Linked DNA regions of Drosophila melanogaster. The gene in region 1 interacts genetically with each later gene. Each region holds a gene or a part of one and is shown in the gene's direction. Other genes may lie near its edges. The genes, in order: dpn, sisA and eag.

The links.
Region 2: of dpn (region 1) and sisA, changing one suppresses a phenotype caused by changing the other (phenotypic suppression), as found in Drosophila melanogaster (one study listed by BioGRID).
Region 3: of dpn (region 1) and eag, changing one suppresses a phenotype caused by changing the other (phenotypic suppression), as found in Drosophila melanogaster (one study listed by BioGRID).

Annotation. Positions count from the first base shown.
Region 1 is NT_033778.4:8,228,283-8,233,990, reverse strand, and holds dpn (deadpan), read left to right. Parts: upstream 1-1,660; 5' UTR 1,661-1,942; coding exon 1,943-2,068; intron 2,069-2,296; coding exon 2,297-2,392; intron 2,393-2,402; exon of another isoform or gene 2,403-2,887; intron 2,888-2,925; exon of another isoform or gene 2,926-3,488; coding exon 3,489-4,574; 3' UTR 4,575-5,020; downstream 5,021-5,708. Other genes in the region: CG34217 (uncharacterized protein), read left to right, coding at 5,376-5,708. UniProt on the Drosophila melanogaster protein: Transcriptional repressor of genes that require a bHLH protein for their transcription.
Region 2 is NC_004354.4:11,320,991-11,324,199, reverse strand, and holds sisA (sisterless A), read left to right. Parts: upstream 1-1,842; 5' UTR 1,843-1,909; coding exon 1,910-2,479; 3' UTR 2,480-2,621; downstream 2,622-3,209. UniProt on the Drosophila melanogaster protein: Involved in sex determination and dosage compensation. Required for proper expression of Sxl in embryonic somatic cells. Also has an essential function in the yolk nuclei. Involved in endoderm migration and midgut formation.
Region 3 is NC_004354.4:14,953,611-14,958,581, forward strand, and holds the start of eag (ether a go-go), read left to right. Parts: upstream 1-1,866; 5' UTR 1,867-1,939; intron 1,940-2,254; 5' UTR 2,255-2,519; intron 2,520-4,971. Other genes in the region: CG9030 (uncharacterized protein), read right to left, coding at 591-836, 938-1,111, 1,174-1,386. UniProt on the Drosophila melanogaster protein: Structural component of a potassium channel. Mediates the potassium permeability of membranes; potassium current is regulated by CaMKII and CASK. Has a role in growth of the perineurial glial layer of the larval peripheral nerve.

The DNA of each region.
Region 1 (5,708 bases):
TTAGTTGCTGTGGATGTTTTAGTTGGTCAATCGTAGCCGTGGCATTTATTCAATTTACGAAAGTTGACATCGGATCAGTGCTGCAGAGCTTGTGCATGATGGATGATCGCCACAGATTATTGCTCAACACGGGATTTACGCTCAGGCCGCGAGGGATCACTTTGCACAACCAGGGTTGCCAGGCGGCGCAATACGTTTACGATCCCACCCAAAACTCCCCAAATCGGTCCATAGGTAGATCTACGTCAGCTGTCAGCTGGCGCATGGCCCGCGTCAGTGGTTATTGACAACTCCTTTGGTCGTAATCCTGCCAACATCGTAAAGTAATAAATTTGCCTGAAAAAGGAAAATCTGCCGGGGATCGACTATAAAAATTGGCCCAGCCAGGTAAGCTCCGTAATGATTGACCCCGACCCTCAGTCCCAGACCCACGACCGATCCAGGTCCGATTCCGATCCATTGCAAGTCGCGATTCCGTCCCGAAACCCAAGCAACCCCCTAAGACGCTTCTGCCGATGAGCCGACCAGGCAAAAGCGAAGAATTTGAAACTAAGGATTTCGCCTTGCAAGGGGGTTGGGTTGTCACGGGGGTTGCGGCAGCTGCGCCGAACAATTGCCAAGGAGTTCTCCTTAATGAATTGCAAATCATTCGCCGGGCATTGATCAAGTTTGTCCTTGCCAAGGGTGAAATCTGTGCGACTAAATGTGCCATCAGCCAGCCACCCAAAAGGGAAACGGACACAAACGGAACATCTGTCGCAAATAATGCTACTCACTGATAACTTATAGAAAATCTCACTTGATACATTTTTTAAGGAACTAAAGATTTTTTGCTTTGCTTTAGCAAATTTCAAGTACTAAAGAAGAATCGCTGTTAATTCTCTGAATATAGTTCATATTTTTGTTAACTATTGCTTTAATCAATTCATTAAAAGTAATAAGCAAGTAAAAAGTAAAAAAAAGTAAAGTAATAATATTCATAAGATTTATAGTAGCTTTGTATAATTATTGCTAAATATATGAATATTCTAAAACAAATAGATTGGGTATTAAGTCGGCTTCGACACGAATTAGAAGATTAAATTCAGTTATAAATTTTTGTTAAATTGTAATAAACTTTAAATTCATTAATGATATGTTATTGATTTTAATGCTTAATTTCCTTCAAAATTATTTAATATACAATGCTTGCTGTATTTTACAATAAAATCAACTAAATTTTGTGGGTTTCGTCAAGCCAAAGGCTAATGACTTGGCTTAACCGAATGTTGTGTTGTTTCTCGATCAGGCTCGACTTAGTCTCGTTTACTTGAGTTAAGCTCCTATTTTCACTAATCCCCTGGAATCCGCAATTCGTTGACTCGGCAACTCTGCCTGCCTGGGAATACCTACTCAAATACTCACTTAAATCTCACTCCGAGTGTGAACTCATTGGATTTGGGGTGGTTATGCACTCACTCACTCTCCGATTGAGCGCAACTGCGCTGCTGCGGTGAAAAGTTCTCAGTCTGCGGACGGCGATCGTTGGGCTGCCTACCTGCCTCAGCTCTGCCTCTGCCGCTGCCCGCGTCGCCAGGTAAGAGAGTCCCTCGGTTTCACTCGTGGACTCGTTTCGGCTTCGACCCGATTCGTTTTTAGCTGGTGCCCGTGGACTCGGAGGATCAGTATCCTTTTGGCATCTCGCGAGCGCGGTCGTCTGCCGCTCTCCTTTGAATGAACATTTAAAATACTATTCTATACGATTCGATAACCAGAACGATCTTTAACGCGTACCGCTTGTTAAGTTTTTGTTGTTCGGACATTACTAAGAAGTACGTGCAATAATTGTTATAACTATTTTCGTACTCGAACCAAAGTTATTGTGTTGTGAAAAAGACCAAATCGAAATCGAACTATCTTGGATTATCTCCCACTTGGATATACAAATTAAAATCGTTACAAAATGGATTACAAAAACGATATTAATTCCGACGACGATTTCGACTGCTCCAACGGCTATAGCGACAGCTATGGCTCCAATGGACGCATGTCCAATCCCAATGGATTGTCAAAAGCAGAACTTAGAAAGGTGAGTTCGCTCTTTTGCGATGAAATTGGACTCGCAAACTAAAAAATAGCAGAGTTTATTAGCACCCTCGATCGTTTTGAACCTTTTCATTTTAATGGCTTAGAAAATGTAAAGCATTAAATTAATTTTAAAAATCAAGTGAAACCCTTGTTTTATATAAACAAAGATATCCCTTAAACTGAAATAAATTCCTACGAAATAAACTAATTGATTCCCTTTCTTTTCTAGACCAACAAACCGATTATGGAGAAACGTCGCCGAGCTCGCATTAATCACTGCCTCAACGAACTGAAGTCCCTTATCCTGGAGGCGATGAAAAAAGACGTAAGTATCTTGCCCGAGCGTCAAAGCAGAAAAGGAGCGGTCCGCCCGCGAATTAGAAACTAGCCCCCGATCCCTTTTGGTTCACTTTCTTATAAATAATGTTAGTCCACAAAAAAAAACCTTTAAGGCACAAGTGTCCGAAGGGCGGCAGAACTACAAAAGAACAAAAAAATGTATAAAAAACGAACTCCTACGACACAAGAACTGAAAAAAAAAACACAAACCAAGGGCTCTAATTGAGTATTAAATTTTATTGATGATCATTACACTAGAGCGCCGACGAGGAGTCAGTCAAGAGACCAAAAAGTGTTAACAAGTCGAGGAATTACGCAGAAATCGCCGGAGATGCGAACGAAACCAGTTTCCAAGGAGTGATCCTGCTGTGAGAAACTACAAAGCAGAAATCAAGTAAAATTTGCCGCCGCAGAATTCTGCAGGAGAGCCGGACCAAAAATCAAATAAGAAAGACATTGAGGGAAAAAAGCAAAAGTAAACAAAAGGTTCAGACAGGGGAGCGGGGGAGGTTGAGGGGGCGGGGCTGGCGAGCGACCTGCGTGGGAACCTTTTGCTAAAATATGCAGTCCCAGCGGCGAGAAAGGGACGAACAATCGGGGACCGAAGACTGGCGAAGATCGCACTGCGCGAAAAAAGAAGATCAGGAAGAACGATTTGGAATCTTCTGTGCCCAAAAAGTCTTCATATGAGATCACAAACGATAAGATCGGCGAGTAGTTTATTTTAGAACCACTTACTAAAGACAGTCACTTTTCCATCATTAGTATTCACTTGCCAGAAAATTTGACTTTAAGCCCCCTTTTTGCTCAGTGCACAGTAGCAAGATCAGTCGTTCTTCTCGCTGGAGTTGCTGAATCTCACCTTGGTCGTGTGATATTTACAGAGTGGACTCGACTGAAGTGGACTGCAGATTACACGCGAATAGTTGGACATATGAGGCACGAAACGTGCTTCTTAACTTCGCTTTTTCCCAAGCTATTGAACTTGTTGTAGGGCCCCAAACAATTAGCCCGACCATCTCCCACCCCATCCCCATTTCATCATTATCTGACTTTGGTTCCTTCGTCTTCTATACTTTTAGCCGGCTCGTCATACCAAACTGGAGAAGGCCGACATACTTGAGATGACGGTGAAGCATCTGCAGTCGGTGCAGCGCCAGCAGCTCAACATGGCCATCCAATCGGATCCCAGCGTTGTCCAGAAGTTCAAGACGGGATTCGTTGAGTGCGCGGAGGAGGTGAACCGCTATGTAAGCCAAATGGATGGCATCGATACCGGTGTTCGTCAGCGGCTCAGCGCCCATCTTAACCAGTGTGCCAATAGTCTGGAGCAGATCGGTTCGATGAGCAACTTCAGCAATGGATACCGTGGTGGCTTGTTTCCCGCCACAGCTGTCACGGCTGCTCCCACTCCGCTGTTTCCCTCGTTGCCGCAGGACTTGAACAACAACAGCCGCACGGAGTCATCGGCTCCGGCCATCCAAATGGGTGGACTTCAGCTAATTCCCTCCCGCCTGCCCTCGGGAGAGTTTGCCCTCATCATGCCGAACACAGGTTCCGCTGCTCCGCCTCCGGGACCCTTTGCCTGGCCAGGATCTGCAGCGGGAGTCGCAGCTGGAACAGCCAGTGCCGCCTTGGCCAGCATTGCCAATCCCACACATCTAAATGACTATACACAGAGCTTCAGGATGAGCGCGTTCAGCAAACCGGTCAATACCTCAGTTCCGGCCAATCTTCCGGAAAACCTCATCCACACACTGCCCGGCCAAACGCAGCTGCCGGTGAAGAACAGCACAAGCCCACCGCTGAGCCCAATCTCCTCCATCTCCAGCCACTGCGAGGAGTCCCGGGCTGCCTCGCCCACCGTGGATGTGATGAGCAAGCACAGTTTCGCCGGCGTCTTCTCAACTCCGCCACCAACCAGCGCGGAGACCTCCTTCAACACCAGCGGATCCCTCAACTTGAGTGCCGGAAGCCACGACAGCAGCGGATGCTCGCGACCGCTGGCCCACTTGCAGCAACAGCAAGTGAGCTCCACCAGCGGAATCGCCAAGCGCGACAGGGAGGCGGAGGCCGAGTCCAGCGACTGCTCCCTGGACGAGCCCTCGTCCAAGAAATTCCTAGCTGGCGCCATCGAAAAGTCGAGCTCCGCTTGGAGGCCGTGGTAGATCAACCGCACAGGCCACTTCTATGTTACGTTTATACATTGTTAATTTATTTCATTGCAATTTTTTCAAAGATCACTTCAATGCTTTAGAACCCCATTAAGTTTCAACGATTTCTATATGTTTTTATGTATCCCCGTTTCGCTTTCTTCATTTTAAGTTCAGCTGTGATTTTGTATATTTTTTGTGTAGTTCTCGTTTAAGCGCTTTATACGACTATTATGTAGTTCATTAAATAATTATGTTCTTTAATGTTTCATTAACTGCTCAAGTATTTAAACAATTAAACGTGTTTCTATTTAAGTTATGTAGTTTTCATTGTATAGCGTTTATCATTAGGTCATTCACGTTTCTATATTAGTGTTTTAATTTAACGATTGTAATTTTAACTTTTAGGTAATGCAAAATTCGATGGAGTGAAAATAATGATAATAAAAAAAAAATGCTGCAAAAGAAAAATCCATCCAAATTTAATGGTTCCTTGGTTCTTAACTGATTAGAATTGGAAAATTCAAGATCGCATCAACAATCAATAGTACTTGAACTCATTGAAAAGTCGGAAGCTGAATTCAAATCAATACGGAAACAGCCTTATCATGTATGTTCGATGTTTTCGCAAAGTTTGATTGAAAAGATAACTCAATCGAAAGCTCCCAATCCATGCTATATAAGCAATAGGCGGAACACATTTAGTGTGTCAAAAACTAAATTATTGCAATCAAGAGCGCGCAGTGACTTTCAGGCGTGCATTGAAAAATCTCAGAAATTATAAAAACAATTTAATTGAAAAATTTTAATTTTACCATGCCAGGAAATCTGTTTCAAGTGTTACTAACTGTGGCGATCCTGCCAGCTATTAGTTTGGCATCTAGTTCTGAAGATGGTCTGCACCATTACCGTGCTTCTCCAAAGCTCACGGGTCCTGTGAAGCTCCTACACGATCCCGAGGACACCATTCTGAACACCTTGGATGGCGCTCTGGAGAAGATCTCCACCATCTACATGCAGGCCTTGTTCGCTGGTACCCACACCCCGGAACTGGAAGCCCCACTCCGAGCCCTCGAAATCGAGTTGTTCGATCTGCTGGACGAGCTCTATAATCAGAATCGTCTCAAGGACTATATAAAGTACGAGGCG
Region 2 (3,209 bases), on another chromosome or scaffold:
TAAAATATGCAATTTACGTACGTCCTTCTAATGATTTCACAGCTTTTCTTTAAACGATATATACTATACATACATATATTTTAATTTAATGCCTTGGACAATTTATTGCTGCGCTGACATAATTCAAACTCAATGTCGTTTTCGGGGATGTGGCGGAGTCTCCTTCATGTGCGTCCATTTATCGTCGCCTTGCTCCTCGATTTTCAGTACTCTTTCTAAGGGTATAGTGTTTCTTTATTGTCCGAAAATGGAAGCCCTAGTTCAACATTTGAGTATATAGAAATAAGAGTATATACATATTTCCTTGAGTCATCCAATTCAGCTAGAGTATTCCGGCCATCGGCATTCCCAACTTATTCTCAAGCTGAAAACTGTCAGGCTTCAAGTGTTCCTGCGGGGTTTGGTTTGGTTTTGGGTGGCCAATTGGGATTTGGTCGAAAATGATTATAAATGGTTTTTTAATTATACTTGTCTGCATATTTTCTCATTTGCCAAACAAACGCGGCGCTGTCGATTTTATTGTTCACATGGCAAATGGTTAATGCCGAATGGAAAATGGTAAAATGCGAAAAATGGAAAAATTATTGCCCGTCTGCCGCTGACAGCTTGCCCCCATCTGGCTGAAATGGGGGATTTCGAATTAAAACTGCTTTCGGTCACTAAAAATACTCAATTGTTTTGCCAATTACCCAGCGGAGTTATTTATGCCAGTTATGTAATTCGAGTGGCACACATGTGCAGCGTTGTAAATTGAAATACATGAAAATGGAGCAAGTGGAAAGTATATTTTGGGTACTTGCAGTGTTATAACATTTTACTGCTTTTTGTTCAACAATTAATTGGTTATTTAATTAGCATAAGTTGCTGCTTGCGTCATATTGTTCTATAATATTGCTAGTTAAATATTACATTACATCAGCCAGAGATAGCAACTATTTATGGATTTTGAGTTTGGTCCACCAAACTCTATTACATATTATTCTCAGCCAAAGGGATTTCTGGTTTAACCCTTTGAGGCCTGCTAAGCAGGTCGCTGAACCCCTCATCGTTTCGAGGGCTGTTAAATTAATTAATAGACTAAATGCGGTCGGTTCGGCTGGTTAATCCCACGACAACAAGCCGCAACTTGTTTGCCACCACGTCGAAAGTGGCTCCTTGAAATGGCTACCTGATGCGGGAAACCCACTTCCAGATGGGTTGATCCGGAATGGACAAATAGCAACTTTAGCAGGTAGCAATGGCAATCGATATTGGTGTCTCTTATCGCATAATGCCGCCTGATCCCACCCGCTTGACATGCTCGTATTTGCCCAAGCAGGTTGATTTTCCACATAGCCCAACATTTGTTGACTCATTTCGGCTGCTAGATAAGGCGCGAATCGGCAAATGGATGGTGATAGACGAACAGCCCAGCTTGACCTTGGGATTATTGTGGATTTAATGACGCCCTTATCAGTTGCATTGAATCGTATCTCTTGGCTTAGAATATCTTTTATATTATGGGGAGTATTTGCATACCGACATACATATGTATGTAGGTAGCCATTGAAGAAACCCACATATTGGTTCGCACCTGATCCTTTTGTTTTTAAATTTGACCAATTATCAGGTAGACTCAGTGCGTCTGCTACCCTAATCCCTTTGTTTACATATCTGCGATTCGTTGGCCAATCCGGATGCAGGTAGGCGGTGTCCAGCAAGGCGACAAGATTGAGGAAAACAAGATCATAAATCCCAGTGACCGCCATTCATGAAGGTAGAACCCGCGAATAACCCATCCAGTGTCCAATGGCAAGCTACCTGCGGAAATGGTATAAAACGGGGCTGACATATTGCCTAAGGCAGCATTAGCACACGAAATCTCGACGAGAGCAGTCACAGACCACGTCACACATCGAAAAAAATCACCATGGAACGGAGTCATCTTTACTTGCCCACTCTGAGCTACGCGGCCATGGGTCACGTATACGCACCGTATCGCGGAAGCAGTTCACCCGCACTATCGACAGCATCGTCAACATCATCGAAGCCGGAGCAGATCGAGGAGCTGGTGTCCCAGCAGCTGCATCATCTCAAAATGCACTACGCCGACGAGGAGCAACGCTACGTAGACCAGATGCTCCTGGAGAATCCCATTGTTGTGGAGCGCCGTGCACCGCCGCCGCTGAAAACGGAGCTTGCTATGGATTGCCGCGGATCGGGTTCCGGATCAGGTTCCGGTTCTGGTTCGGATGTCAAGGATGCCCAGCGTCAGAGGGCCGAGTCGTGCCGCAAATCCCGCTACAACAACAAGATCAAGAAGGCCAAGCTGCGCTTCCGGCACAAATTCGTCAGCGGGCAGCTGAAGAAGAGCGCCGTCATGTTGGACACGATGCGGGATGTGATTGCCCAGGCGGAGAGGCAGCTGCTCGAGCGGGGATATCCCGCCGCCACACTCGAGCGGATGCGGGCCACTTTCGGCCTGGAAATGGAGCAGTGATATCATAGTGTAGCTATGTGTCGCAGGAACGGATCCCTGACTAGTCCAGCATTAGCCATACCACTTTTTTTTTTTGTTGACTATATCTAGTATTTATCTAAGCATATTATTAAATTTTTAAATAAAATTAAGAATCATATTGAAAACGAATGCTTTCTTATTCAAATATTTGTTATAGGTTCACACGATCATATGGAGTCAAGGATAACTTGTTAATTTCACTTTACAAGAATTTCCCATAATTTGGATGCATTTATTCTGCATTTAACGCATCGGCAGTCTTGGGGTTTCCTTCGCCTGGCCGAAGGTAATCCCATCGGAATTGGGCCAATGCAATGCACCCATTTCGACTTGCTTAAGTTCAGTTCATTTGATCCGACATGATTGCACTTCGCTTTCCCCGTTTCACGTTTTTCCCCCTTTCCATTCTTTTTTTCCCTTTTTTTTTTTGGCTTGCGAACAATTTGCGTTGCCAAAAGCAGCAAATGCAATGGAAGTAATGGCCTTAAGAGCAGGTTTCTGTAAGAGATTGTGGCTAAATTTAGTGGGGCTACTACTGCAAATAGCACCCCACTTTCTGGTTGGTGTTTTCATTTAAGAACTGCGAACTGAACTTGGAAGCTTTACTAAATGCTTGCCAAGGGTATATACTATGTATATATATATACAATATAATTTTAATAACTACATATATTTTTTAAGTAATTTCTCATAATATCTTGATGTCTGC
Region 3 (4,971 bases), on another chromosome or scaffold:
GAGCGCGGAGGTGGCGGGTCTGAACGTCTTTGCAACGTGCTCTCTTGAAAAGAGAGGTAGATGGTGAGCGAACACGCTGCTTGCGGGGGTGGGTTTAGACATCAGTAATGGTTATTTAGCCATTTTTTTTTTAATTCTATATTTTTATTTTTATTTTATAACAAATATTTAATAGATAGATAGAAAGTGACAGTATTACATTTTGTCATATTTCATGATTCCTAAAATCATGTTTAGTACCAATATTAATCATTACATATTATTAAATGGGTTTTTTAACCTCAAAAAGAAGCTTTCAATTCCTATTTAAAACAGATCTATTTATTAAGTTCCTCTAAGCCTAAGTTGTTCTTTAGGATAAAATGTGATCCATAAAGCTTAAAAACCAAAAGCTTTATAACAATTGAAGCGTTAATAACAATGTTGCACATGTGCGCTACCTGTTGGTCAATTGCCATTACTCGGCACAACATCCAGGTGGCGCTGTTTTTGTTAAATAATTAATTTTTTTTATTACATTTTGTTAATATGAGAAAAATACAGTACGACGTAAAATGTAGTTAAATATTATTTTCACTTATTTTGACAATTTATGGGGCATATCTTTCCATTGACCACCAAACAACATCCTGATAACCGTAAAATTCGATCAGTTGCCTGAGAGTCGACCGCACAGAAAGGACACAGTACAAGTTGATAACCGGGATCAAAGTCTTGAACAAGAAGCCGTTGCCTATAGTCCTGTTCACTAAGGCATCTGACAGCACCAATAATATATCGATGGATGTAATGGTGGCATAAATCACAAACCATGGACCAATGTAATGCGGCTTGAGCTGGATTCAAATAATGTTTACAATATATTAATGGAATTCAAAGAAGTTTTTGAATAGATATCGTTTTTTTTTTTTTTGTATATGATATTTTTAGTACTCACGGTGGCCAAGGCGTATAGCAGTATTGTCCACGCCGTTAACATTAAAATGCATCCGATGATACGAAAGCGGCGCAATTGCTTGTATTTGAAATTCTTTACCTTCCTTAGCCGATGCGACTTCTTCAGATGCGCCTTCTTGAACAAAATGCTTATGAATTCTAGACAATTGTGAGTCTGTGTTGAGATAGGTGTAATAAATGCACATCTGAAATATAAAGCAATTTGCATATACGCACCGATCCAATGATACTAATGCCCAGAGCATAGTAGAACATGAGGGGGAATATCTGCTCGGAGAACCAAAACAATCTGCCTGCACGCTGATTGTTCGCATCGAAATTAGGCGGGAACTTCCAGATGGAGTATGTTCTGCAGGTGGGTAAGGGTATATCCATATACCTGTGCGCAATGTAGCATAGCACATCACTGAGACACCTTTTGGTATACATGGCGAACTCAGCTAAAGTTTGTACAAATCAATTTTCAATCACAAAAGATGCCTGAAAAATGAGTACAAAATTTTGGTGCAAAGGGAAATGGACTGACTGACTGACTGAAGGGTGACGAATAAAAAATGGAAAAGATTAGATCATTAAAACGTGGCCAACTACTCTCTCTGACGACTATATCATTTTTCCAGTGAATGGAGCTCTTTAAATTCGCCCAGTTTATTTATTTGAAAATCGATAGGAATCGTGTTTCTTTGCCATTTAACCGTTTTTGCCATACGTGCTGATATATCGATACTAACGTGAGTAGCGCCACCTAGCGGGTGGGTAGAACGCTGCACACCATCGATGATTGTCAATGTGAAAGTAACGGTACAATCGGCAGCGACATCGATGTTTTCCCAGCTCTAGCAGCGCGCAACTCACTCGTAGTCGACTTTTAGGTGCGTAGTCGCGAAAAACTATGAAGACGCAACTCTCGCGTCGAGCGGTCCTCAGAATCCGGGATTCGTCCTCCAGTTCGAAAATCCAGCAAATAAATCCAGCATTTTGTGTGCGCCAATCGAATACGATTTTTTTTTATTTTTTTTTCGCCTGAAATATTTTGAAAATTACAACAGTGTAAACGGTGGGAGGGGGTGGTGGTGTGGCGAGAGGGGATTTATGGAAGGGGGAAGTGGGGGCGCCGCGCACGTGTCGACGTCGCAGTAGGCGTCGCAGTCGGCAATTGTTGCACGCTGCTGATCCTACGCGTTTCTCGTTTCATGTTCTTTCTTGTTTGTTGTGTGCTTCTTCGTGTCCCGTTAATTGTTGTTTCTTCTTCTTGTCCTCCTCCACCACCACCTTCACCTACGCTGCTCAACTGCAGTGCAAAGTGAAACGCGAAGAACGCGTTGCAGAATAATCACATCGCAAATACGGCGAAGGCAGGAAAAATTGAAAAGAATTGAAGAATCCAGCGAAAACCAGTGAAGAATCGGAATCAAAGAAAGTATCGGAATCAGCGGAATAACACTAAAAATAAACATACTTATATATATATTAAACATATATATACATATATGTATATATATTTAACCACCATTTAAAAGCAATCAAAAAGCAACTAAACAAACAACAAAAAGCAACAAAAGGTAATCACAAAAGGCTAGGACGAAATATTGTGTAATAAACTTGAATTTCTTTTACTTGCCGCAAAGAAATGGGGAAAAAAATAAAATGAAATAATATATAGAAAAGGAAGCTAGCGAAAGGGGAAGAGTGAGCGAGAAGGCGGCATAAACACACTTCTAATTGTAATTGTTGTCTTTTGTCGTTCTGCCGGCGTCGCTGTCGGCGCTAAAACTTTTTCCTGGCGGCGCAAAAGAGACAGCGCGAACGGCGAAGTTTTGCCCGAAAGAAAATGTAAGGAAAAGCAAAGAAAATTGAAATGAGCAGGGAGCCAGGAGTCGGAGTCGTGGAAAAATGGAACATAATAAGTTAAATTTGCGTGCTCTTGGTTTTCCGTCGATTCATGCTTCGTTTTTTCATTATTTATTTATTCAGTTTTGCGCTGGTTCCTTATTGTTTTCTTAATTTCTTGATGTTTTTCCAGCTATTTCCTACTCCCCGTCATTGAATGTGTGTCAGCCAACAGAAAATGAAATGCGCAATTATGTCAGCAAGCAAATAAAGCGAAAAAAGTTTTAGCAACTACATCAATTGCTTGTTTTTCAAGTGCAACCAACACACAAGCACTCACACACACGCACACACAACGCACTTTGCGGTTGCATAAGTGTCAAACGCAACACACGCTTACAGTTTGACAGTAATTGCGCTCAGAAGTTCAAAAGACAACAAAATACGTTTATTTTTGTGGGAAAATGAAGTCTGTATTATTTAATCAGTGCACTTATGCCCATGTGGCAACTTAATCTAGCTGCAGTGAGAAAAAGAAAACGGTCCTTGAGCAGAACACCAAATAAGTGTGCTATAAATATAGTTTTTACGAATTTCAGATATGCAGTGCGCCTATGCAATACGAATTTAACTTTGCTGCCAACTGAATTTGAAGGAGTATTTGTATTGTATTTCCGGTGCTCGCAGAGCAAAAGGGTATATTCGATTCGTATATGTTTAAGTGATAAAAGTTTCAATGTAAAGGTGAAAAAGAGTGCAAATGTGGGTGGCCTGCGTTAGTTGACATCCGTACAAGATTGATATTGATGCCCTTTACACCCACACAGGCGCAACATTACAAACGCTCCCAAACGCACACACTTACATATGTATACTCTCACAGACACACACATACTGTGAGTCACAGCAACAGGAAACGGGTGAAACTACTTAAATATTTAAAGCATTTGATGCCGAAAGGAGAGGGGGCGATAAACAGAGCGAGACGGAGAGGGGGAAAATTGAATGGGTCGGCCCACTTTTTGCGCCTGGAAGTATGCAAACAATGCCAAATGGCACCAGCACAGAAATGCCGAGTAAATCTTGAGAGCAAGTTTTCCGCCCGCCGAAGAAAACGCGAAAAACCCACAGCCAGGAGAAAATAAAAGAACAACCAAATTCACGAGAAGAGCCCAACAATTTTGTCACGCATGTGTGGCTACAAGTGTGTGTGTGTGTGTGTGTGCCTGAGCGTGCGTGTGTGTTTGTGGGCCAAATGAAAAGAGCCAAAACATTAAAAATGTACCAGCAACCACAACAACACAAATGACAAAAATAACAAGAATAACGGGAATAGCACAGGAAAAGTCCAAGCTGACGGGCGCCGCAATTTGCTGTCAACATAAAATAAATAAAATAAAATAAAAAGAACAAGAAGCAATACCCACACACACACACACGCACATATGTATATGGCCAGTGTGTATGTGTATATATCTTGTTTATAAATCTTTTGTACACTTTTGGCAGTTGACTTTTAGCGCCGACTGTTCCCATTTTCCCATGTTTTCGCATTTTCACGTTCTTTGTAATTTTCAATTTTACTTTGCGCATATTTAATAGCACAAATCGTAAATTAGATTCGCCACACATACATATAGTCCTATTTGTGCACTGAACGCAAAATATGCAGCCTTTAACGGAATAAAATTAAATATACATATATTCTAAGCGATTTATTTTGCAAACTCATTATGATCAATATTTAATTTACATACAATTTTCATACAATTCAGTTAAATATCGAAATTATCTAGAATCTCCAATTTCTATCAGTGTCTTTTCCCTAGCTCCCACTTTTATTACCCAAAAGTTAATGAAGTGTAAGTGTTGTGGAAGGGAAAGGCCCTAGGAATATCCTGCCTAATCAATCAAGCGGCACCAATAAGCCTTTAAACAGATTTGCAAATTTAAAGCATTACGTACTGTGCACGAGCATTTGAATGGTTTGCCAGCGGATTTCCATAGAATATGTTAAATGCCTAACTGCCACCCGTCACTTTTTATATTTTATTCTTTCCCTGACCCTCCGCAAGTGTTTAATGTTTGACATCCGCTGGCATCCGTGTTGCCTTGCCGTCGCTTCCGTTTCCGGATGCTGCTGCACTTCCCCTGCGCACCCTGCTCTTCAACTAACTGCATTAT